4 linked regions of the Oryzias latipes genome follow. The protein of the gene in region 3 interacts with the protein of the main gene of each other region in a pairwise test. Links are inferred from orthologs where the notes say so. Each region holds a gene or a part of one and is shown on either strand. Other genes may lie near its edges. The genes, in order: retreg3, probable E3 ubiquitin-protein ligase DTX2, abhd16a and rnf5.

Region 1 (6,198 bases), on a different chromosome or scaffold from region 3:
AAATAAATAACCAGGGGTTAAATTTAGATATCAGGTAAGATACCTGGTCTCTTAAAAGAGAGACCTTAGAGAATGTCTCTCTTTCTCACTCAAATCTCAAATAAGAGTGCCCTCTAGTGGCTAAATGTGTTGTTATTGAAACAGAAACTTGTCTGCTTACCAACCATTCAAAAGTTAATTATTAATCAACTTGTACAACAATCATTAAAAATATGCAGATTATTTAATACATTTTAACTAGTTCCAACCATAAAATACGATTCAAAATTTGTTTCACTTCACTGCTAAGAAATGAATCAAACATTCATGATAACTGTTTGATCTTGACAATGAAATTGTTGACATTGGTTTTAGTTTGTTTAATTTCAGTTTTTTTTCTTCTGTGTAAAAAAAACTAATATGAAAGTTGCATAAAATGTTTTTTTTACTTTATTAAAGCTGTATAACATTACAGAAATTTATATTAGCAGGTTAGCTTCTTTTTTTTTTTTGGGGGGGGGGGGTATTTCAATTCAATTTCAATTTTATTTGCATAGCCCAAATTCCCAACAACAGTCATCTCGATGGACTTTGTATCGGTAATTGAAAAGTAAAACTTAGAATCAAATTTAAAAGGATCATGAATACATAGAATTCAATAGTGGAAAATACTAAACTAAACTGGCATCCCTGCCCTTAGACCCTCCTTCGGTTATCCAAAGATCTATTGACAGAAGACATATATGATATACTGACAGATCAGTATTTCCGCTCAAGGGTAAATGAATAAAAGTACGTTTTTATTTTTTGGTAGAGTGCACCTAAACCTGTTGTGATCTCAGTCCTGTGGTTAATCTTGCCTTTTGTTGTAATTATTTGTTTCGGGTAGGACCCGTGCTCTTGACTTGGTGAACGTTCACCTGATAGAAGAAGACATCCTTTCTGTCGGTTCCTTCAGTTGCAAACTCCTCCACGATTCCCTCAGGACTGATCCCATGCTCAGCACACAGCTGCTTCCAGAACTCGAACCCGACTGCAAAACGAAAACGGAGAATTAGTATTAGATTACATTCGTTTTTGACTAAACAGTTTCTAGTTTGAGAACACGCAGCTGTTCTGTGAATGACAGCTACTGTTACCTATACTATACTGTTTCTGGACACCATGTTAGCCGTTAGCTAGCCGGAATAGCATCATCACTGCGGTTATTTCCCACCAAAGAGATGTTCAGCTGAAAGGTCCAAGAACCATTTAAGAAGATTTAACCTAACTGTCTAGGTCGAATGGTGGAGAGTCGTCGAACAAAATATAAAGGAAACGGTTCAGAAACTTAACTTAAGGGTATGAAAAAAATGACCTACTTTGATTGCCACATTGTCCAAGCTGAAGAGTTATAATTTCCCGCGGCATGGTTAGTTGCTTTTTATTTTGCTAGCCTGTCTGCTAGCGAAATAATGAAAGCTAGCCCCCAGGTTACACCGATTTTCCCCTGACCAGCAGCGACAACAACAACCCGCTCGTTCCCGCTAACTGGCGTGCTGAATTCTTCTACGGATGTTCATGGGACAATGTTCACGCTCGGTGCTGCCCCCTAGTGTGTTGGAGTACAATACATTTTTTTTAAAGATGGTAATCTTCTCTTTCGAATTTGTTCTTTAAAAACAATTTATACCATTTTGGTTATAATCTTTTTGGGGCCATGCATTTTTTCCGGTTTGATTTTTCTCGTCAAATCGATAAGCACGTTATATTTTGTGCCACAAAGTGACCACAAGTTTAATTAATTCAAACAAAGTTTAGTAAACCCATATAGGCACTAAGTTTTTTAACAGTATTTTACAATATTTTTTCATTGACATGATATGTGTTTCTTGACCAAGCAAACCTTACTACTACCATCAATAGTAATAATAAATCGTCATAGGTTTTTGGTCCAACAAAACAGCATAGACAGATACACAAATTAGTTTCAGTAATCTTTTTTGACATGCATAAACATACATAAGTATAAAGAGGCTTATTTTACAAGGATTGAGGAAAAAAAATATGTCATATAAGAAGAGATTAAAAACAAACCCAATGAATCGTTTATTCCAGAGTTTTAATGAATTGTAGAAAGTCCCATATACATTTGTAGCAAGTCTGCTCTGCTTATCATAAAAGTAATTAAAAAAAGACAAGTATAAATGATTGTAATAAGAAAAAATATATATATATTTTTTTAAATAAATGAGCTTTACAGTTCATTTAAACATACGAAAATATGCTTGAGGTTTTGCCCCAGCCTGGGAAGTTAGTCTGCACTTTTGTACCTGAACGCACTGTGACGCAACTGCTTTCCTGAAATCTGATTGGATCAATCGACGCTGGGAATAGATACGCCATGTTGACATTTTCCGAAGCGACCACAAAATGTATTTTAGATATATATTTTATAATTAGTGTCAGGTTTCTCTGAAACTTTATTTTTAGACCTTGTATAATGTTGTTTTTAACGCTGTAAGAGAAATGTTGTAACATTAACATCAGTGCGGAGTTGTGGTCGCTCACTGTTAGCACTGATAGCCGTTAGCTTGTGTTCTTCTGTCACCGGCGGAGCCCCTCATCAAGCTGTTTACCGGTTTCCACTCAGCTTAATTCTCTCTTTTACAGACTGACAGTGTTCCACAGCAGACACAGTTTGATGGCGTACTCTGGAGCGATGGAAAGCGCCCCTATGGACGATCGTCCCGCGTCTCAGAGTTCAAGCAATTGCCTTCGAAGTCGACCATTCTCCAGCGAAAGAGACGCCCGAGTTCGGGTCGTGAAAGCAGAACTTCAGTCCAAACTGGGGCCCTACGAGCCCGTTCTGACCTACCTGCAGTCTCTCCTGGTGTGGGAGAGACCACTTCACAGCGCCCTGTTCTTTCTTGCTGTAAACACGGCGTTCTGGTGAGTTTGACAAATAAATACACTTTTTTAGAAATTTGTTTGTGATCATTTTCCTGTAAGATAAACTTTAAAACAGGTGAAAATGACAGCAAAGCAAGTAGATGACAGTAAAAGTGTTGCAATTGTCAGTAAAACATCAAACAGGTGGTTCAATAGCTCCAAAACTTGTTTGATTTGAGATATTAGTCCAGTATTTTTCACAAAGGATGTGTTTTGCAACAGACAGGCTTGAGAACTGTAACCTAGACTCTATTCTGTTGAAATATGGATGTTGTGAATTGCTAACTTAAAAATCAAAAGGTTAAATCCAAGATTTGAGCAGTAGCTTAACATTTTAAATGTCAAATATCAGGGTTAAAGTGTGCAGATCTGGCACAAGTTTGGGGTCTGTTAGTGTTCATTCTTGTTTAATCAGAAATCTCTGGAAAAATCTTGTTTATGAACACGTTTTTGACACATCATTTCTATTATTTTTGTTTTTTATCATGTACTCCATACTAAATATATCTTCGACCACGTTGAAAATGAATCTCTTAAATGATGAGTGTTTGGATTCTACATTGGAATAATAAAAGTAACCATGTTTCTTTAAAAACAAAAAGGGGTTTCCTTCCCAAAAAATATGCTCAAAAAACAACAAAAGGCTAATAGTTGTTGACCAGAAACGTCTTAATGGGATTAATCTGAGGATTGGCAGAATCCTGCAGCATTGTTGTTGCCAACAATTCTGTGAAAACCTGAGATCTGAAATTAGAGCAACAGAGACTCGTGTTTAGATCCCAGGCAGTCTTACTCAGCCAAAAACAAAGAGCAGTTTTTTCTGTTTTGTAGCTTAACAACTAGTTCTTTCAGTGGTTTTGTCGTTGATTCAAAACTTTATTTATGGGAAACCCCTCCTAACCAATGATCACTCCTTTTTTTTTTTTTTTACCATTAATTGAATTGTGCGCTTTTTTTTTCTTCTTTAAATTTGATTTAATTCTTTGCATAGTCTTAAGGAAACAGGCAGCTAAAGCGCTGTTATTTGCATGCTTCCGGTTCCAGGTTTTTTGCCTTTACATCGATGCGTCTGCTGTTCATCCTGGCCTCTTCGCTTGCTGTCCTTGTGTCTTTTGACACCTGGAGGAATAAAATCTGGCCAAGGATTAGAGGTGTGTTTTTCTCTTCAAATTGTGGTTCTTTATATTCAGAATGTCCTTTTTTTATGCTTGTTAAAATCTATGTTTACTAAATGCGCGAGTGGAACATCAATCGGCAAACGATAAAGAAAGAAAATGACCAAACTACAGTTTGGGGAACTTTGGAATCTTTCTAATCCACGTGTCTTCATACCTCTCAGTTGTAACGCTTTGTTTCTTTGCTCTTTACAGTCAGAAAACTGGATGAATCTGAAAATGAAAGGTGTGTTTCTGTTATTTCTTCTGCAGCATTCATTGTTCGCTAAAGTGCTTCAGTCCAACATGTCTGTTTCCGCAGCTGGGCCTTGGTGCAGCCCGGCATCCTAAGTGTACCAGAGCTTTGCCATCACCTGGCAGAGGCCTGGGTCAGCGGATCAGTTCTCATGTGCTTCATGGTTCAATTCAAACAACGAAACCCTGGCAATGTAAGGATTACCGCCCAGCACCATGTATTTAATCCTCTTATTCATGTGAACTGCTTCAGTTGATCCACCTGCATTCCCTCAATGAATATTACATGGGTGACGTGCTGTGCAGGCAGTGACTTCTATCTCTGTGTTCTTCTCTGGAGCAGTTCTGCGTTCTGACCTGCGGGTTGTTCACCTGTTTGGCCGTGGTTGGGTGCTACATTTCTGGATTGGTACTGTCCTACGCTGCATGTGAGTCCGAGCAGTTTTACCGGTCCTAACTACCGGTCACGCCCTGCTGCTACACTGTTGGCAGGAAACTCATTTTATGCCAAATGAAAAATATATGAGTGAAACCAGATCTGTGGGGCCCCGACACAAGGTTTGGCCTACGAAGTGATTAAAACAGGGAGGAGGAAGAGGAGGAGGAGGAGGAGGAGGAGAGGACAGGAATCTAAAGAGGTCAGGCGGACAGCAGGTTAATCTCCTAACCTGGAGCTGGTGTTAGACTGCAGAGGGCGGGCCAGTCCACAGCTGTCCGCCTGTCTGTATTCTCAAACCCAACATGTTTGTAGATCTTCATTGATTTTATAGAAAAAACAAAAGCAAAACACTTAAATATCACCATAAGTGTCATGACTTTCCTCCTCCCTCGTTGGCAGTGTTGGTCATCCTCCTGGCTCCTCTGGCAGCATACCATCGAGTCTTTCAGCATGCGTGCATGAAGTTGGAGCCAGTCCTGCAGCGGCTGGATTTCAGCATCCATGGATACATGATGTCAAAGCCCATCGATAATCAGTGTGAGTTTGACGCACACGTTTGTCTTTCAGATCTACGTTCACTGCATTGAACTGAAGTGACCCCATCTGACTGCTTCATTAAAAGCAGTTGATGCTTTACAATTTATGTTCTCCCTTTTAAAAAAAAAAGCATCTTTAAAGGTTTGTTTTGTTTGGACAAAGCTGGATATGGAAATCTGTTATTGCATTTACCAAAGCCGCCTTTTCTTTCACTGTTTCTAAGTTATCTAACGGCGGTGTACGTCTGTCTTTAGTCCTGCGAAGGTCCGTACGTGGTGCAGCCTCAGGTGAAGCCAGCGACAGCGAGGAAGAGTTAGCCGCTTTCTGCCCAACAGTAAGTCTGTTGGTTTCTATTGTCTGTCAGTGTTTGAGGCTGCTCTTGTGTAGGTTTTAGGCTATGTCAGCCCAAAGGAAAGGGATCCAATAATTTTTTTTTTCTTGACCAAATAAAAAAGACAGAGCTGAACTGCTGTGTACTAACTCTATGAAGAGACTGTTTGCTTTGATGAATGGCATGTGTGCTTTTCTGGACTACCTCATAGGACAGTGCAGGCAAATGGCAGATCTTTGACACCATTTCACAATGGTAGGATTTACACAGGGAAAAATGAGTTCGACAACAAACAGAAACTTGGAACGATCTATTAATCAACAAGTAGCAGCTTGTCTGCAAAGCCTCCTGTGTGCCAACTTTCTTTTTTTTAGGACAAAAAAAAGAAAATAAAAGAACCATAAATCTGTGTTTAGTATTTTAACGGAATCTCTTTGTTTCAGTTCGATGATGACGTTGTTGCTAAGGAGCTTGCTCTGACTGACTCTGAGCACTCGGATGCAGATGTGTCCTACACCGAGAACGGAACATTTAATCTTTCGCGTGGTCAGACCCCGCTCACTGAGGGTTCT
Region 2 (6,140 bases), on a different chromosome or scaffold from region 3:
CGATCGCCAAGACTCTGAGAATCCTTTTCTTCGTGTCTTTCGCGTTTCTGCCGCCGCCTCAAACACGTCTGCAAGTGTCAGCAGAATTTAGCTTCAGCGGGTCTTCATGCTCCAAACGACAAAAGGCTTCGTCTGCTGGATTTTAATCCCGTTTGACAACCTTTAGGAATTTTAGTTTTAGTGCATTAAACTTCACACGGCAGATTTTCTAACAATACAATGGTGCCTTCGTACCTTTAGGTTCACCTACGGTGGCCCTGAAGTTCAAATCACATCAGCAAATCACCCAAAGCATAAAACCACATTAAAAGTTTACCACGAAAAATTAAAAAAAGCAAAACAAACGATCTGACGGGATGATGATGTTTGTCTACATTTTTGACAGGAAGTTATTTGGTACGAGGCGATGTATTCCAACAGAAGAGATTTCTTGAAGCTTCTAGCCCCGCCCACTGCAACAACTTCTTCCCACGGTTCAGGTAAAACCTCCTTCTGCTTTCCTTCTTCTTCAAAACTCAAACATTTTCATCCAATCAGGGATGTCCAACCATTGTTTTACACTTTCTGTTTTTTTTACTTGTTCTGTCCAACAGCTGAGCACACAGCTGACTGCTGAAGGCCTTTTATGTTGGACAGGTTTGACTGGGCACACAAGGTATATATTTGAATAAACCCCTTTTCCCAGAGAACTCAGGGATCCCTCTTACTCTCCCCACCTTCCTTGTATGTGTATTTGTGTGCATGCATGTGTGTTGGAGTCTATATTGGCACTTATAATTGGCGGGTAGGGCACTGAGGGAACGTCTTCTGCTTGTTGGAGACAGTCTTTCTCTAAAAGGATCTCTGAAGTTGGTTCCTTCCTGTGATGGAAGCAGTCGCTGAAGGAGGAAACGCAGCAGCAGAGGCGGCGTCCTGCAACCATCATTTCAAATCTGACCGTCGGCGTCTTCATCCATGTCTGAAGCACATGAGAAACTAAAGACTTTCCAAAGGGATTTACATTTTTCACTGAAGATTTGATAGAACTTGAAGCTTTTCTGAGGATTTGATTTTTATTTTTGTCTCCTAAGGGATCAATATCGGCTCCTCACAATCTTCTGGACTGGAAGTAAGGAAGGAGGAGGTTTGTGGACAAGCTGTAATCCCAAAGATGCTTCTGCTAACGCTCCATAAAAAGCAGATTTACGGATAATTAAAAACAGTCATTTATATTTGGCAATAAACTCTCTGGACACTGTGTCTTTTTGGAAAATTAAAAATGATGGTAGGACATATATTTTTACTGAAACGGCCTCGTCCCAGTTTGGTTTTCTTTATGATTAAGGTAACTTTATGAAGCGTTTGGGTTTAATCTCCTAAAAGCGTACAGTCTTGCAAAAGGAGAAGTTTGCTGCTGCTGCAAAACTTCAAAACTTTCAGTTCATGAATTGTTAATTTCAGAAAGATCAGGAAGGTTTCCTCATCTTTCATGTGGCGGCTCTAAAGGTGGAAACACTAAACATGAATCCTTCTACCAGCAGTGCATTCAGGGCTTATTCACTTTTTCCAAATGTTTTATGTCTTGTTTCAAATAGAGTAAACCTCAGGGAGGCGTCAGTTTATTAAATGAAAAGGGCCTTTTTGACATTTAAACCTTCAAGGCACCAGAACCTGGGTTTTTTTGCATCGTTTTTCTTTATTTGGGCCTCAGAGGTCCACAGACATTCCCTTTCTGACATGTTCTGCTGAATGAAAGCTCTCATGCAGACAGGTAGGTGTCCTCTCAAACCCAACCGACTCCAGAACCGCGGGTGGACGTCAGTGAAGCCCACGCATCTCAGAGATGATCCGAGCAAACAGGAGACACCGGGGTTTCATTTAAGCCTTTGACGCACTATTGATGCAAACCGATGCTTCTGCTTCATACTCACCTTAAAGAAAAAACAAAGTGTTTTTTCATAAAATTTCCGGGGGTAAACAATTACTTAGTTTTCTTTTATTTTAAAATCTTTTCTTTTTCCCAGTGTCCAAAAAACAAAAGTGTTCTTTTTATGATTTTGTGCTATTTCAAACAACAATAAAAAAAAATTTCACCCAACATTTGCTTTAAGGGATTTCAAACATTTTTGTCTAAACATATATTCTTACGTTGAAATAATAATAAATAATATGATTGTATTATTCAATATTATAGAGTCTCTAATATAATTTCTATTGTCTATGTGGAACTAAGTTTTGAAGTTTAATAATAAAACTGTAATATTTTATGTTTGGAGTACCATTGTACAAATGTAAATACTAAGATCATGAGGACTTGGTTTTAACCAGTTCGGAAAATTGTGACATTCTGACAATTTTTTTTAATGTAATTCTTGTGGCAAATTGAACACATCTTTTATTTTTTTACAGTTCCCTTTGATCCAACAGTCGTAGTTTTCTTTTGCTCAACCTTTCCTCTTCTGAGTATTTTGTCGTACCGTTTTGTCTCCGTTAGGGGGCAGCAGAGTTTTTGAAGATTCCAAAAAGAGGAAGAGGTTGTTGTTTTAAAAGAAGAAGAGTGTGAAGTTCAGGGAGACTTTGTAAACGTAATTTTGAACGGTAATGTGTTCTTCTTGAAAGGTTATTTGTTCTTTGGTTAATAAAGCCGCGTACTCTGGTCTTTGAAGTGTTTGGCTTTAGAATTAAAAAACACACAGATCTACTCAAGAAATGTACATTCTCCCATCTGTCCCCGACTCACCACAGACTTTGAAAAAAAAAGAGGTAATGAAGGACGCTTTTTGTATAGTGGGGTTTAAATGTAAGCAATTTAAAGTCATTTAAACCAGCAACACTAGCAAGTAGATATTTATGTTTGTTTTGTGCTTGCATGTTTTTACAGATTAAAATTCTGTTTTACGAATCTGAGTTGAGCCAACCTGTCATCGGTTTGAATGCAAAAATTCAGAGGGCGCGTGAAGGCAGCTGGTGGAGCAGAGGAGGAACCTTAGCAACGCAGTTGTAAAGCTAGCGTTTCCCCTGATAGAAATGTCAACATGCACCTTGGTGTTCACGGAGAGCGCGTAGTGTTTTACCTGCAGGCCTCTTCATGCTCCCACGTTCATAATGAAGCTCTTTAGTGAGCCAAGCTAGCCCCGCGGACTTTGGCTTTGTCGTAGCCCCGATCGGCTAGCTAGAACGAGCCGCCGTTAGCTTAGCTAGTACCTCGGTCGGTGAATATGGCGATTGTGTCTGGATCGTGTTCCCGGGTGAGCAGCTCCAGAAACGGGCCGTCGGTGTCCGCCGCGCCGTCCCCGTCAGTCGGACAGTCTCAGCCAATGATAGCGGTGTGGGAATGGCAGGACGACCAGGGCTTCTGGCGGCCGTACAGCGGCCAGGTCTGCTCCCACATCGAGCGGTCCCTGTCCCCGCGGGGCCACCGGGGAGCCGGACCCAGCTCCACCAGCGTCTGCCTCGGACAATCAGATCCCAGTCTGTCCCCCTACCTCATCGACATACCGAGCCTGAAGCAGTTTCGACAGGATACAGGTAAACCGCTTCAGCACCACACCTGAAGTCCGGATTCAGATCAGAGATTCTGGTTTCCGTCGTTCATTTTGTCTTTTTAAACTGCATTTCTGAGAAGATGATGTTGGTTCAGTCAGCTGGTCTAGAAAGCAGCAGTACACTTTAAGTTTATTTTATTAAGTATACTTGAGTACACGTATAGCTAGAATACTAGAGACTATGTAGATTTAGTGAAGTAACTGAGTATTTCTTGGAACATTTTGAGTCCAGGAATAGACAGTATGGAAGTGAACTTCAAGTGCATCACTTTTAGTATAGACCAAGTACCTTTTGTAGTACTCTTACAAAGAGTACTGTCTTGCTGAAGGTAAACTCATTTGCGGGTTTTTGTGCAGGAACCACGCGCTCCGTGCGCCGGTCTCTGTTCCCCCAGTCTTCGGGCCTCGGCAGTGGCGTTTACTGGGAATGGGCCAACGATGAAGGGGGCTGGACTCCGTACGAGACCAGAACTTCCATCCTTCTGGAGCACAGTTACCAGGCCCGCCAGGGGACCGCCGACCTGGGCCCTCACGGATACAACTACATTGTGGACCTCACGTCTTTCGCCCAGGTCAACAAATCAACGGGTTTCAGACGGCAGGTTCGTAGACTGGGCAACTCCCCGTTCCCGCTGGCGTCCCCGGGGCCCCCGGCTGTCCCCTTGGGGCCGGCCTGCTCCTGCCAGCAGTGTTTGAGCCACAGCAGCACGGGGCCCATGCCCAGCCGCTCCCGACATTCCTTTTCTTCGGGGAGTCTGAACCGACCCGGCCTGCAGGGACCAGGAAGGGCAGCCGCGACCCACCCCACTTCCGTCTACTCGCCGTATCCCCGGAGGCCCCACTCTGTTGGGGGGATATCCTGGGGCAGCCCCTGGCTCCCCCCTCCCTCTGCCAGTCAGATCTCGGCGTCGCACCTGAGCGGCTCCGCCAGCGCCAACGGGCTCAGGTGGGTTCCGCCTCTCTGTCCGGGGTTTCTGGTATCTGCTAAAACGCTGCCGGTCCCGTTCCAGTCGCCAACACGGATCTGAAGTCACTTTGTGGGGTCAAATGGTTTTACCTGAACAAATGTGGGACAGACATGGATAAAATAGGAACTCTTACATTTTGATTTGATTTGATTTTTGATTTGAAATGGTTTATTTCAAGCAATCAAGGAAGAAAAATACACAAAAACAATACAATCAGCATATTTTATTACATGTTTTATCTTTATCCGGTTCAGAACTTTTATCAGACAGAATTAAGAATCTTTTGGTGTCAATAAATCTCATGATAAAGATGAATTTCTTAATTATTATGTAAAAATAGACATAACTCTATTTTAGAAATAGCAAATGCAGATCAATTATCTAAAATATAAGCTGATTATATTCATTAGAACAATGATGTATATGATTAAAAAATAATACTATATCAGTAAAATAGACATAACACTGTTTCAAAAATCTTCAATATCAAAAATTGATCAAAGTTCAAAAGTTAAAAATATGTGCAAAATTAAGTTTCATTAAGAAAAACCATGAATCCATTTTTGGAGCAAGTGAAGTAATGTAATTAGAAATCACTCATTTTAACCATCTTCGATAATTGATTATGCATTATTTTTATCTTTATTTTATCTTTTTTTTATTTTAAGGTAGTTCTGTGAAATCAAATAAAATGAGAATAAAATCCTTGGTTGTGTCTGAATTCCCACCCTAACCCCAAACTACATAGTGCAGCACTGTGTAGCGCCCTGAATGTTAAAGCGATTCGGACGCCACGCTCACTACTTGTATTTTTTAGACGGCGGATATGACGTCATCGATTTCACAAAGTTAAAATCGAACTGATATGAGCGTTTTTGGACGAGTATTTATGAGTCTACTGTCTTCTGAAGATAAAAACATTAATGATTTATTAAAAAAATACATTTTAATGCATTTTTTTTTTTTTGCCAAAAATTGTTTCGACGCAATGCATTGTGGTCTATATGTGCCGTTTTTTTGCAGACACTTCTGGGAAATTTCAAGGGCACTCCATTTTGACAGCACTAGAAAATCACTATGTAGTGCACTCTATAGGGGTTAGGGCTGGAATTCAGACACAGCCTTTGTTTTGCCACCAACAGTGAGAGGAAAATGCCTTCATGGATGTGATGCATCAATTCTGTAAATACAGCTTTTGTCGGCGTTGAAAGCCGCCCTGCTTTTGGTGGCAGCGAGGATTTGCTCTGCTGGGGTTCTTCCATTTCCCACCCGCTTCTCTTCCTGCCTCATCGCTGAGCCGCCCTGCAGGGCAGCAAAGTGTTTTCTCAGGCTCACTTCCTGTCACTCCTGAGTGCATCGTCTGACCTTCCTTCCTCTTCAAAGCGGTTCCTGTCCTCAGCCGGGCTGAAGATCCAGACCCTCCTGAGTTCTGCTGGATGGGCTTCTTCTCCAGACTTCCACAGTTGTTGCTTGTCCTAATGTTCCCCTTGGAGGTGTCAGGATGCTGCTTCGGAGCCTCAGGAAGCTCCTCCTTCCATCTGGTGGTTCTGCTTCAGTTCCTAAAATGTTCTGATGAAAGCTCCAGAAAGTTCCAGTAAAGGCATTAAAGAGGCAATGTTTGGCATTCCTCCAGAGCTGCTTCTTCTCT
Region 3 (5,368 bases):
TAAAATTTAGAAAAGGTTTTGAGTTTTTAAAGCATCTTTGTTTTGTTTTTTAATAGTTCTGCTGGAACAGCGAGGAAGTTGACCTCAACATGGAGTTCATCATGACTGTGGTCAGAACGATCCGATCGCTCAGAGCTGACTACAATCTGACGAAGACTAAAGCTGACTGTAAAATTACTCTATTTTTTATTCCTATCATTGTATTTTAAAAGTATTAACTCATTAGTATGAGTTTATTATAGCAGCTGGTGGCTTCATAGGTTTCTCATCTCTTTTCCAGGCTACCTTCAGTGCATAGACTCTGCTACTGTGTCCCTGGTGCAGAAATACAGTCTACAGATCCAGACCTTGTCTTACTCTCAGGCCGTCATCCCCCTGACAGCCAGCGAGCCCGTCCCACAAGGCTGCGCAGTGGCTATCGCTTCTGACAGATGCACCGTCAACCTTATGCTCAAGGTGAGAGTCAGCAGTCTGCCGTATGCTCCCTGGTTGCCCCGCACCCCTATTTAATATCCAGCATATTTCACTTTCCAGTGCTGACTGGCACATTGTAGTTACAATTTCACTTGTGTTTGATTCTTTTACCGAAACAGTTCTAAGCCTGTCTTTCTGCAGCTCTAGCAGAACCTTTCCTGTTTCCTTTTTGGTCTTAACAAATCTAAAATAATATCACAATTTTCACCTCGTGTTTTCGTTTCCTTCTCCCCTCAGGGTCTTATTGATGTGGAAAAGGAAGTGACAAAGCTGCTGACAAAGAAAGGCGACTTGGAGAAACAGCTGGAGAAACTGCAAGAGAAGATGGCAAAGAGTGATTACAAGGAGAAGGTTCCAGTGAAGGTGCAGGAGCAGGATGCTGAGAAGGTGAAAAAAAAGAAATTGGCTTGTATGATGTTTCAAAGTGAGACGCACACATGCCCAGCAAATAATACTTTTGTTTCTTTTCTGCACAGCTACGACAGAGCCAGGCTGAACTTGAGAAAGTCAAAGAAGCCATAGACAATTTTAGGAAAATGATGTAATTTCCACTCCTTATTCCAATGTAAATCAGGATGTATTTTCCGGTTAATGTTACTTTTTAAATTCTCTGTGGAGGAAGTAATTCAGTAAATCACTTCAACAATGATGTGAGGATGTTCTGTCCTTCCTGCTGCTGCCGTTCTAACTCGATCACTCCTATTAGCGCTAAACCTATTTAATTTCAGCTTCATTGAAACACTTACAGTACAGCTTGTCCCTGGATGAGGGTGTGTGAACAAATCTTGAATCGAGACAAATTGTTTACATTTCTTTTAATTGCAGTCATTTATATCAACTTATATTTGCTTTATAAATACAGACAAATGATGGAGTGAGTGAGTGAGTGATGGCTTGTGGATATTTTGAAAAGAAGCGTTAACATAATGACAAAACTGTCTTCGTAAAACGACGTGTGACGTTTTGATAACTTCTTGGGAAATCTGGAACAAAAAACAAAACCCCACAGCTGTACATTCACACTTGTCCAGACACACTTGACTACAGGTCATCCAGCATCTCTTGGTTCCCCTTATGCATCCTTTGTTCAGTTACAGCTTCCACGGTGAGTGGAACTCGGAGGCGGGCAGAGGAGTGCAGTGTGTCGATTCAAAGTTTCGCATGTACTTCCTTGCCTGGGAGGAGAGAAAGCACAGCAGGGATGGAGGAGGAATGGAGAATTAGATGTGTGGGAGGGGAGGCGAACAAAAAGTGCAGAGCTTGATTATATTAGGCTGAGTCTATCTGGCTCAGTGCCTTACAAATCTCTTGCATCTCTAAAGGGTTTACACAGGAGGTAAATAAAGCCTAATTTAGAAGGTATTACCGGAGGAGGAAAAGGCACAGCATTAGTTGTAATTGATGGCACTCCTCTTGTTTGATGTTAAATGACTTCAATAAGCCGAGCACGGTAAAATATATTACACTAGTCAACCTGAAAGCACAGGTGAGCTGGTTGCTATGGCGACCAGAACAGTGTTTTTTTGTGATAATGTCTGAAAAGCTGCAATTTCTTTTTTTTGTAGGGGGAGGTTGGCTTAAATTATAAGAAAAAAAGAAATTAGACTATAGACGAATTAGATGAACAGGTTATATAAAAAACCCGCTCTGAGAAATGAGATAAAGACAAGTGCCCGTCCTATAAGCAGACAGGGATACAGCTGGGACTGAAAGCACTGATAGCAATAAATTACTTCCATACCAAGAAGAGCGCCAGCTGCCGCCTTCCCTCTTGAGTCATGTCCTCACCTGGTGACAGAGGGAGTGTAAACATGGAAGCTTGTGGTGCCATTTGCCTTCGGTAACAGTGAAAGAAGCATCTTACCGACAGTCCATGGAAACAAAACATCTCTGTCTGTCTGATAGGACTGCAGCACAGACACGCACCATCCATCATCCACTTCATATCCGCTGTACACAGATGCTGCAGAGAGAGGGAGCTTGTGTTAGTTTGTAATAACCAGATGTCCCAAATATGAGGTATAGTCATATATATTTCTCATTATGATGGTAATTAGTTCAAATGCACACATGAATCTGATTACCTTCTTCTAACTGATTGGAGGCTCCAAGCCATTGCTTCACAACGCGGATCCCCTCATCCGTCATGATTTTGGGATACCTGAGCAGGATGGACACGTTGCCAGTTTCTCTTTTTTTTTTTTAATACATGATTGGCTCAACAAGTGCAAATCCACAGTGCTTCTGGCAAAACTGAGGTGTAGAGACTGACCTGGACTGAAGCAGCTTAAGCAAAAGGTCATTTCCTCTGTTGGACATGATGTCTTCTGGGCCCCTGGAACAAATGAGGAGGTGATGTGATGGCACGCATTTCTGAGAACATCTTGAAGGCATTCGAAATATTTTATTATATCAGTACATTTTGAAGGCTGCAAGAGAGCATGTATTGTGGTTGGAATATTTTTATACTTAAACCAGGAAGAAATAATTAGAATAACAATAAAACCAACAATCATCCCCTCATTTTATACAAATTTGCAGGATTAATTTACCGTAGTACACAGGGAGGAGCAAAAACACTAGGAACTTAAATTATGTTACATTTCTCTGATTTCTTTGGAGAAAAAAAAGAAATTATGTTCAATAACTCTGCAACAAAGAATTACATCTATTTGCATCCATCATTGGTAAAAATCTCTTATGAGGTCATCATTGTAAATGAGAATTTGTCCTCAACTGATCCTGCTGATAAAATAAAGATTAATAATCTTACCTCCTGAATAAAGGCACATTTAACTCAGATTTTTTTTTTAAAACACATCCAAAATACTATGGAATTAAAAACACTCAAGTTAATTGAAGTTCTTTTTTTGGTAAGTTTTCCTATTTTTAACTTTAGGAAACAAACCTACAGTTTTCAAGCATTGCGCTTTGTGCCTGCATTTCTCCATGGGTTAAATGGCTAAAGTTAAATTCCTTAACTTTTTCTGCAGTAGAAGGATCTCTGAAGGTGAAAAAAATATCTGCAAAATTTCTAGTGAGCCTCAAAAACATCCTATATAATTAAAAAATTTCCCAGTGTTTAATACCACCTCAATTGTGCAGAAATCAACTTTAAAATGCATTCAATAATCAAACGTGTATTTCCTGTAAAAGAAGGAAAGAAGAATGGTTGATGCTGAAAGTATTTTGGGATGTGCTGGAGTTACCCTGTGGTGATGATTTCATCTCTGCTCCTCCTGATGAGCAGCACTGGTCCCTGGTATCTGAAAACAAAAGAGTTTTAGTGCCACTACTGCCAACATTTCTTTTGTAAGATCAGTGGGCGGGCGCTACACTCACTTGAGAAGCTGCTCTGCATTGTTCAGGTTCACATATCGTCTCACTGTATATTGCACTAGAGGCCCTGGCAGAGGAAAGAGAAAAAAAAGCTTGAATTATTGAAATGAAACTGCAGGTTCAGTGCTATAGATCTTTAGCACTCACTCCAACTCTCAGGCATGACTTTAAGAGCCAGCGGCAGGAGGTCGTCAAAGGAGGCGTCCAACACCAGAGACTGAATCTCTGGGTATGACATCACGGCCCACGTGGCTACCAGACAAGTACATAAGCTGGACTGTTAGTGAGAAGAACCACACAAGAAAGTTTTCAAACTAATCAACTGTGTACCTGTGAATCCTCCTATGGACCAGGCATAGATGATGATATCATTTAGCTGGAAGCCCAGCTTGTGTACTGCAAACTGGATAACCACATCCATGGCATTGGCCTCATTCTGGGGAAACGGCACTCCCTGACAGAAAGGGAGAAAATACATACACATGAAAACATTTAGTCTCTAAAGAATCAATCATGACTCTATTTTACACCACAGAAAGCTGATTTTTAATGCATTGTAAGGATTTACAACACTCCCAAATATGGGAGCGCCTTGGGCGAAGGTGCCAGGGTTAAACAGGAAATTCCAACTGCTGTTGTTTCCCACTGAGAGAAGAACAGCCTTCAGACTGAAGTGAAAGAACTTTAGCATCAAGATTACAAGAGAAGAAAATCAAGTGAAGGAATTTCAGAAAATGAAAATCAAGTTAATGCAAGGCTACAGTGGAAGTTATCATGTTAACCATGAAAAATAATAACCCAATTAGCAACATAGCATAAAGAAATACTAAAGTATAACCTCCAATATGACAACTCTGCTCACCGTGCTGTCCCCAAATCCAGGGTGGTTCCAGCCCAGGACGGAGTATCCAGCTGCAGGGGACGACAACAAATACTGAACTACACTTTCAGCTAAGACATTAGAAACGTTTCATAGAACAATGTGCGCTTCCCTTACCATCCAGAGGGGTGTTCATGCAGCCCACCTCATAAAAACCTGCATTCCCCTCACAGCAGATAACCTGTGGCAGATTTCAAAAACGTTTGTTACGTGATCGGACCTTTGCTAGGTCAGGAACAGGCCTAAGGCATAAAAAAAACCCCAACAGCAAATCACTTCAGACATTTACCAGAGTCTTGCCATTGTGACCCCCATCTGTCCTTCGATCCACAAACATGGTGTCGATCTCGTTACCGTCACAAGCGACTAGCTTGTTCCTTTGGCCATCATACTGTGACAGAAAGGAGAAAAGGATGGCCGGCCATTAAGCGTGTTTCAAATGTTTAAATGAAGTCAGGGCGGAAATGTTTTTCTTTGTGGTACCTCTTCGATCAACTTCGCCTGTCCCTGCATCAGCATGGGTTTCATGGCTTTTTGCAGTAAGCCCACAGAGCCGGGGTACAGCATCCGCCTCCCAAACGTGTGCGCAACCAGATAACTGCCAACAACAACAGATCTGTGTCCTTCTACATGACCTATATGAAATCATTGGCTATTGACATGGGACAACACCAC
Region 4 (5,956 bases), on a different chromosome or scaffold from region 3:
GACTGAACACAGGCGGCGAACCTGGGGTCCTCCTGGCTGGAGCTTCCCCGTCCGTACAGCGGGATGACCTTCTCTCTGCTGATGCCCGCCTTGCACACCGGACACTGCTGCCTGCTGGGCTGCGTCTCCAACCACTGAGAAGGACAAGACGGATCTGACGCCGCTTCCACCAACGAGACAAAATGTTTGTTCCTGCAGGAACGGACTGAAGACCAACGGCTGCGCTCATGTCGCATCAGCAAACCGAGACCCGTTAAGGTCATTAGTGTCACACGGTGCAGCTTTAACGCCGACGTCACGTCAGGAGCGCCGCTTAAGCCCATTACCTCCACTTTCTCTGTGGAGACGCCGAACTGTTTACAACAAACACCTTCAGCCTAAATACAAACATCGGCACAAAACTCTACTGCCATTAGAACGCAATCTGGACTCGGTGGTTCACATGGTAACACTGATCTACAAACGCTTTAAATATCTGGAAGCCTTTTTTATTTTAAGTTGAAATAAAATGTCCTGCCGTTTACGTTGGCCCACAAAAGATGCAGAAAAACCTTCGGCCTTTTATCATTAAAGACAAAAAATGAAACCTTTTCACTGAAATCGATTAAAATGTCATTAAACATGACCAAGTACATCAGACCCAAAAGAAGAAGCTGCCTTGAGCCTAAGTTTTTCTGTAGAAATGTGTCTGAATCTTTCAAAAAAACTCCAAAAATATAAGGATCCAGTTTTATTTCTCTTCAAAGATCGAGTCAGAAGCTGTTTGGGAAAAGAACAGAGGATGGACTCACCTGATGTAGACAGGGCCAGCTGCAAACAGGAGAAAAGACAACAAATTATTCCCTTCTAAAAGCAATTTTGCTGCGATTCAGAGATTTGAAAGGAGGCTATTAGTTTAGACAGACATTTCAAACAATAAATCCGTCAGAAATGATTCGATCTTAACTCAAAACATTTGAAACAATTTTAAAAATGGAATCAGATCCCTGTAATCTGCATGACTTCCAAGCCTGCTCCAATGAGAAGCTGTGGACTGCTCCATGCAGCCCCGGCGGCCCTCAGGCGTTTTCTGGGAGCCGCCCGGCTCCAGGAGAAGCCTCGTGACTTTGACAGGAAACATGAAGCTTTTTCCAAAATGCAATGGTTACGATCCTTTCACATTAAAAAGTCTCATTTCAGGAACTCGTTTGAGTCTTTTTGCTCCCCAGAACTGGCCTTGATTCCAAGAATTTAGTGTGTGATGAGAAGAAAACTGAAATGAACCTCCATTTCTAACAGATTTTTGCTTTTTTTTTAAGGCAGAGATATCATTAAACCACCGTAAATCTACACATTTTAGAAATGCTTTGAGATTTAGTCATGAAGGAACTTGGAGCATGCAAACCAACAAGAAGGGCGGGACTTTCAGAACCACAGCAGCACTCCGGCGCAGTAATCTGCACTGCTTGGGTTTAAAAAACGGGGATCGGCGTCCCCGCAGTCAATTTAGGATCAAGGATCAACACAGAGCAAATCCTGAGTTTCAATACCAACTTTAACCTGCAACAAGTGATAAAAACCTGATTTATTTGAACTGAGAAGCCGCAGGACTTTGTGCCTTCAAAATAAAAGCTGCTTATCTCATCATTTTGTGTTTTTCAGATTACCTTTGCAATGAAGTCAGACGCATTTTTTTTGGCTCCAAACACCAGTTTATGAAATCATCTCAGAGATGGCTTGAAAAACTAATCTAAGCAGAATATTACTTTACAATAAAATACACCACATTTCAGTGAGAGTTTGTGGAAAATCCGACACTGCATAGCTAAAAGTCAAAGATGATGATGAATCCTATTCCACAAGCAGCTTGATGAGATGTTGCAGCAGGTGAGCTGATGTCATCAACTGACCTCCTTGCTTCAAAGTTTCATCATGTTACGTACAGATTTGGGGGGGGGGGGGGGGGGGGGGTAACATAGCAACGACGTTACATCAGCGCACGCCGCCGTGGGAGCTGCAAACACAGACACGCACCAGCTGGTCCACCAGAACTTGATCCGGTACTGGACCGGGATTTAACCCCCAGAGAGCTCCGGAGCGGTTTTTCCTCTGGGGGTTTTAAGTTAATTAGACTTTATTTGTTCTTCTTTTTGTTTATATTAAGTAGCAGCAATCAACGGCTGGTTAAGCTACAACAGAAATCCTTCCTCTGTCTGAGAAAAAAAACGGCGTGTTTGTACCGATTCATTCAACTGGACAGATTTTCTCTAAAACACACCAATACTTGTTTTTATATTTACAAACTTCTAAAAAAAGAGTGACACTATATTAAAAGACATATAATGGATACAATAAATGCAAATATATGTGTGGATTTATTTTTTTAAATGTCTCAAAGTTTCCTGAATGTCTAACATTTTCTCTGTTTTACCAACTTTTTCTATTTCTGTTCAGCAGCTTAAAGACAAAACTGGCTTCATCGCCTCCTTCTGACAATCATAGCCATATCAAATATACATTTTCCAGCTTTTCAAACAGAGTACAGGAAGCGCAGAAAGAGAAATGAGAAGCGGTTTTAATAACGATCGGCTGTGACATCACAAAAGCCAGCAAAGAAAATGAAAGGAAATATAACCAACAGTAATCAGAGTCGCTCTACAACCTGATCTATTGATGAATAGTTCCCTTTTAATTATGATGGTGCTGTTATGCCACTTCCCATCATGCATCTGTCTACACGCTGTCCTGCTGGCTTACAGCCCCTCACACAACCCCAACTTAATCTGTGAGCTTATGGCCCGCCCAGTTTATTTTCTGTCACAAATACGATCTTTTTCAAACTGAATTTTTTAAAATTCTGCTCCTGATTCACAATGATTTGAATAACAAAATACTCAGAAAATGTTTAATTTTCTCTATAATTGTCCTCTTTCATCGGAAAAATGCCACAAGAACATGTTAAACATTTTTAATAAATCACTTTCATGATTTGTTTTTATTCTATTGCAAACCCCCCCCAAATGAGCAAGAACTGTTGAAGGAAAATGTACATTTGCATTTTTTTACAGCTTCTTCAATACATTCCAAAGATTATATTTTCCTGCACTTAGATTTTAGTCCTTCTTGATCAATTCTTTTCTGGATTTTGCACAATAAACAATCTCTGATGTGTTAACCGCCTTAAACCACCAAAGTCCAAGCCTGTGCTTGTTTCCACACTGAACCCTTCGCTGCTTTCGATTACAGCTGATAGGAACCTGCTGACCCTGATGTCACATCAGCGACTCCCAGATTAGTCACACAAAAACCACTGAGTTTGTGTGAACCGACAACATGAAGGTTGAAGGTTGCGCAAGTTTGGATCACAAGGGGGAGAAAATGCTAGAAAGTCTTTGGCCGCAGGTTCCTTTCAGATGTGGTGAGCTGCCAGTTCAGATTAAAGTGGATTTAAACAGAATAGCTGATTAAATCACAGCAACAAGCTGAAGCAAGTTTGGCTCATCACAGACTGATGTTAAAGTTAGAAATGGTCACTAAGCATTTACAATAAGAGTTAATATGTCACAGATTAATACGTCACCTTTGACTGACAGCTGATAAAAATGCTGTAAAAAATGTTTAGGTGTAATGCAGTAAAACAGTTATGACCTGCCTCTGTAAAATATTAGTTTGTACTTTATTCTTATTTTTAATATTATTATTATTGTGGTTTTCAGCGAGGGGCGTGACTCCGCCGTCAACAGCTGACGTTAAAGAAGGCCGCGCGCGCGCGGGCAAATAACATCAAAAGATCATGGAAAAACACCCCCACACACTCTAATAACTACTGTTTTGGTTTCGTACCAGAACAGGTGTCCGCACATACTGATGACAGCGTCCCTGGCTGTGTCCAAACAAATATTGCATTCGAAGGTGGCCCGGTCCCGCTCGCTTTCCCCGCTGCCGCCGCCTGGCCCGTCGCGGTCGTTGCTGCTTTCCCCCGCGGGGAAACCTCCTCTGGAGTAGCGGGGATCCGCCGCCGCCATGACGGTTATCGGAACAGCGAAGGGAAGTAATCCGAACTGAGTCAACCCAAGCCACTCGTGCCCGACTGGTACTAGCGTTAGCCGAGTCCGACACTGATGGTACAGTCTTCACTTTGGACTGAGTTGTGGCTGCTGCTGCTGTCTGAGAAACCACTTCCGTTTCCGGTCAAAATAATGCTGTAAGAGTCGGGGGGCGGGGCTAAAAATGTAAATACAAACGCCTCATGGAGACTGTACAATGATTATCGTGGTTATTTACTTTTTAAGTGTATTTTCAATGTTTATCATCTATCTGCGGGTTTCAATTGCACTATGGTATCAAAATAAATTACTTTTTACCGGATCAATAAAGTTCTATTCTCTTCTATTCTATGAAGCAAGGCCAATGTTTAAGGTTACATCCGGTAGTGTTTTATTTTAAATAACCCTTATTCATAAATTCAAGAAAGGCAAAACAAAACAAATATTGTGATGTGTCAAACTTATACACACATAAACACGCGCGCACACACACACACACACACACACACACACACACTCATACACACACAAATACCTGACAACAACAGTAATAACTAATGGCACACTGAGAAGATTTTAAATAAACAGCAAAGAGTCTTGTTTTTTTTTCTATATTAAGTTTAATTAAACCTTGTTAACCTCTTGACTGATAATGTTCACTGTCAGTGGTGCAAGTTGCATAGTATTTAAAGTGTTTTCTTTTACTTATTGTCTTGTGTCTTGTTTTAATAAAATGTTTAAAAAACAAACGGAAATGACAACAATGATAATTATCATAAAATGATGTGTTCTTTTGAATCAATTTAATACAAACAATAGGGCAGTCAGTAATCAGGATGTAAATAACAAACAAAGACAAACAATTGTTTCTAAAAAATTTCAAAAAACTAACATTTCAAAATTCTGTTATTCAAGTTAAATTATAACTATATATCCCAACCGTTTTTTTCCTTCTTCAATACATTAAATGTATAACTGCATTTACTGTATTAAATTAACCGGGATAGGCATTTTTTTAAACTGACAGAACCCGTTAAATCTGAAAACCAAACATTAAAAAGATTTAAAGATTAAAAGAAAGAAAAACAGTGTCTTTTATTTAAAACATTATTTTTTTAATTGACTCATTTATGAACATCCCCGTTTCAAAACCGGAACTTTAAGCAGACATCTTTGTTTCGTTCCGGAGCTATTAGGCCTACGCACAAAACCGTTTGAGTACAGCTCCACGCTGATTTAGGATCTTATTTTGACCCTTTTTGACTGCAGAAAGAAGACATTAATTTAAGTTTAAAGCTTTGTTTTTGCTTTCGCTAATTTCTTTTTTTATTCAAGGCGGAACATGAAGATCAAACGACAGAAACAAGCCAAGAAAACGATTAGCTTCTACAAATACAACTTCAGCTTCAGGGAACCTTTTCAGATCCTCATTGACGGGACTTTTTGTCAGGCGGCGTTGAAGAATAAAATTCAGATTAAAGAGCAAATGCCGAAATATCTAATGGGTGAGGTGCAGCTGTGCACCACAAAGTACGTACATAACCGAATGGTATTCTCTGTTGTTGTGTTCAGAGTCTTTGGTTGTTGTTGTTTTTTTTAAATCCGTTTTATTCGTTTTCACACACAGTTGCGCTCTGAAAGAACTCGATACTCTCGGAAAACAGCTTTATGGAGCCAAAATTATTCTGCAGAGGTTCCAGCTGAGGAAATGTGCTCACTTCAAGGACCCGGTTCCTGCGTCAGAGTGCCTGCTGTCCATGCTGGAGGACACAAACCCGCACCATTACTTTGTTGCCACGCAGGTACATTTAAATGGACGAAGAGCTCACTTATTAATAAGCAGAACCGCATAGATTTTCAGTTTAGTGAAGAAAATCTGAACACAAGGTGCTGCATATAACTGTCAGGATCAGAAAACTTTCTGCTCTTTA

The links.
Region 1: the proteins of abhd16a (region 3) and retreg3 interact in binary tests that used the Homo sapiens proteins (3 or more experiments, as listed by UniProt). The link is inferred for Oryzias latipes from reciprocal best matches to the Homo sapiens genes ABHD16A and RETREG3.
Region 2: the proteins of abhd16a (region 3) and probable E3 ubiquitin-protein ligase DTX2 interact in binary tests that used the Homo sapiens proteins (3 or more experiments, as listed by UniProt). The two-hybrid records come from large-scale screens. The link is inferred for Oryzias latipes from reciprocal best matches to the Homo sapiens genes ABHD16A and DTX2.
Region 4: the proteins of abhd16a (region 3) and rnf5 interact in binary tests that used the Homo sapiens proteins (3 or more experiments, as listed by UniProt). The link is inferred for Oryzias latipes from reciprocal best matches to the Homo sapiens genes ABHD16A and RNF5.

Annotation. Positions count from the first base shown.
Region 1 is NC_019866.2:6,742,508-6,748,705, forward strand, and holds the start of retreg3 (reticulophagy regulator 3), read left to right. Parts: upstream 1-2,311; 5' UTR 2,312-2,393; exon of another isoform or gene 2,394-2,631; 5' UTR 2,632-2,662; coding exon 2,663-2,910; intron 2,911-3,954; coding exon 3,955-4,061; intron 4,062-4,280; coding exon 4,281-4,311; intron 4,312-4,386; coding exon 4,387-4,513; intron 4,514-4,662; coding exon 4,663-4,747; intron 4,748-5,157; coding exon 5,158-5,295; intron 5,296-5,549; coding exon 5,550-5,629; intron 5,630-6,069; coding exon 6,070-6,198. Other genes in the region: tubg1 (tubulin gamma-1 chain), read right to left, coding at 900-1,012, 1,341-1,389. UniProt on the Homo sapiens protein: Endoplasmic reticulum (ER)-anchored autophagy regulator which exists in an inactive state under basal conditions but is activated following cellular stress.
Region 2 is NC_019872.2:28,222,864-28,229,003, forward strand, and holds the start of probable E3 ubiquitin-protein ligase DTX2, read left to right. Parts: upstream 1-2,557; 5' UTR 2,558-3,197; coding exon 3,198-3,507; intron 3,508-3,881; coding exon 3,882-4,470; intron 4,471-6,140. UniProt on the Homo sapiens protein: Regulator of Notch signaling, a signaling pathway involved in cell-cell communications that regulates a broad spectrum of cell-fate determinations.
Region 3 is NC_019874.2:20,786,751-20,792,118, forward strand, and holds the end of abhd16a (protein ABHD16A), read right to left. Parts: intron 5,292-5,368; coding exon 5,177-5,291; intron 5,085-5,176; coding exon 4,983-5,084; intron 4,875-4,982; coding exon 4,811-4,874; intron 4,726-4,810; coding exon 4,676-4,725; intron 4,268-4,675; coding exon 4,144-4,267; intron 4,066-4,143; coding exon 3,961-4,065; intron 3,881-3,960; coding exon 3,817-3,880; intron 3,741-3,816; coding exon 3,684-3,740; intron 2,810-3,683; coding exon 2,747-2,809; intron 2,636-2,746; coding exon 2,559-2,635; intron 2,438-2,558; coding exon 2,339-2,437; intron 2,263-2,338; coding exon 2,216-2,262; intron 1,650-2,215; coding exon 1,566-1,649; 3' UTR 1,275-1,565; downstream 1-1,274. Other genes in the region: vars (valine--tRNA ligase), read left to right, coding at 57-168, 281-456, 712-861, 951-1,019. UniProt on the Homo sapiens protein: Phosphatidylserine (PS) lipase that mediates the hydrolysis of phosphatidylserine to generate lysophosphatidylserine (LPS). LPS constitutes a class of signaling lipids that regulates immunological and neurological processes.
Region 4 is NC_019869.2:5,391,991-5,397,946, reverse strand, and holds the start of rnf5 (E3 ubiquitin-protein ligase RNF5), read right to left. Parts: upstream 4,160-5,956; 5' UTR 4,005-4,159; coding exon 3,823-4,004; intron 811-3,822; coding exon 792-810; intron 135-791; coding exon 22-134; intron 1-21. Other genes in the region: rRNA-processing protein UTP23 homolog, read left to right, coding at 5,368-5,555, 5,653-5,827. UniProt on the Homo sapiens protein: Membrane-bound E3 ubiquitin-protein ligase that mediates ubiquitination of target proteins. May function together with E2 ubiquitin-conjugating enzymes UBE2D1/UBCH5A and UBE2D2/UBC4.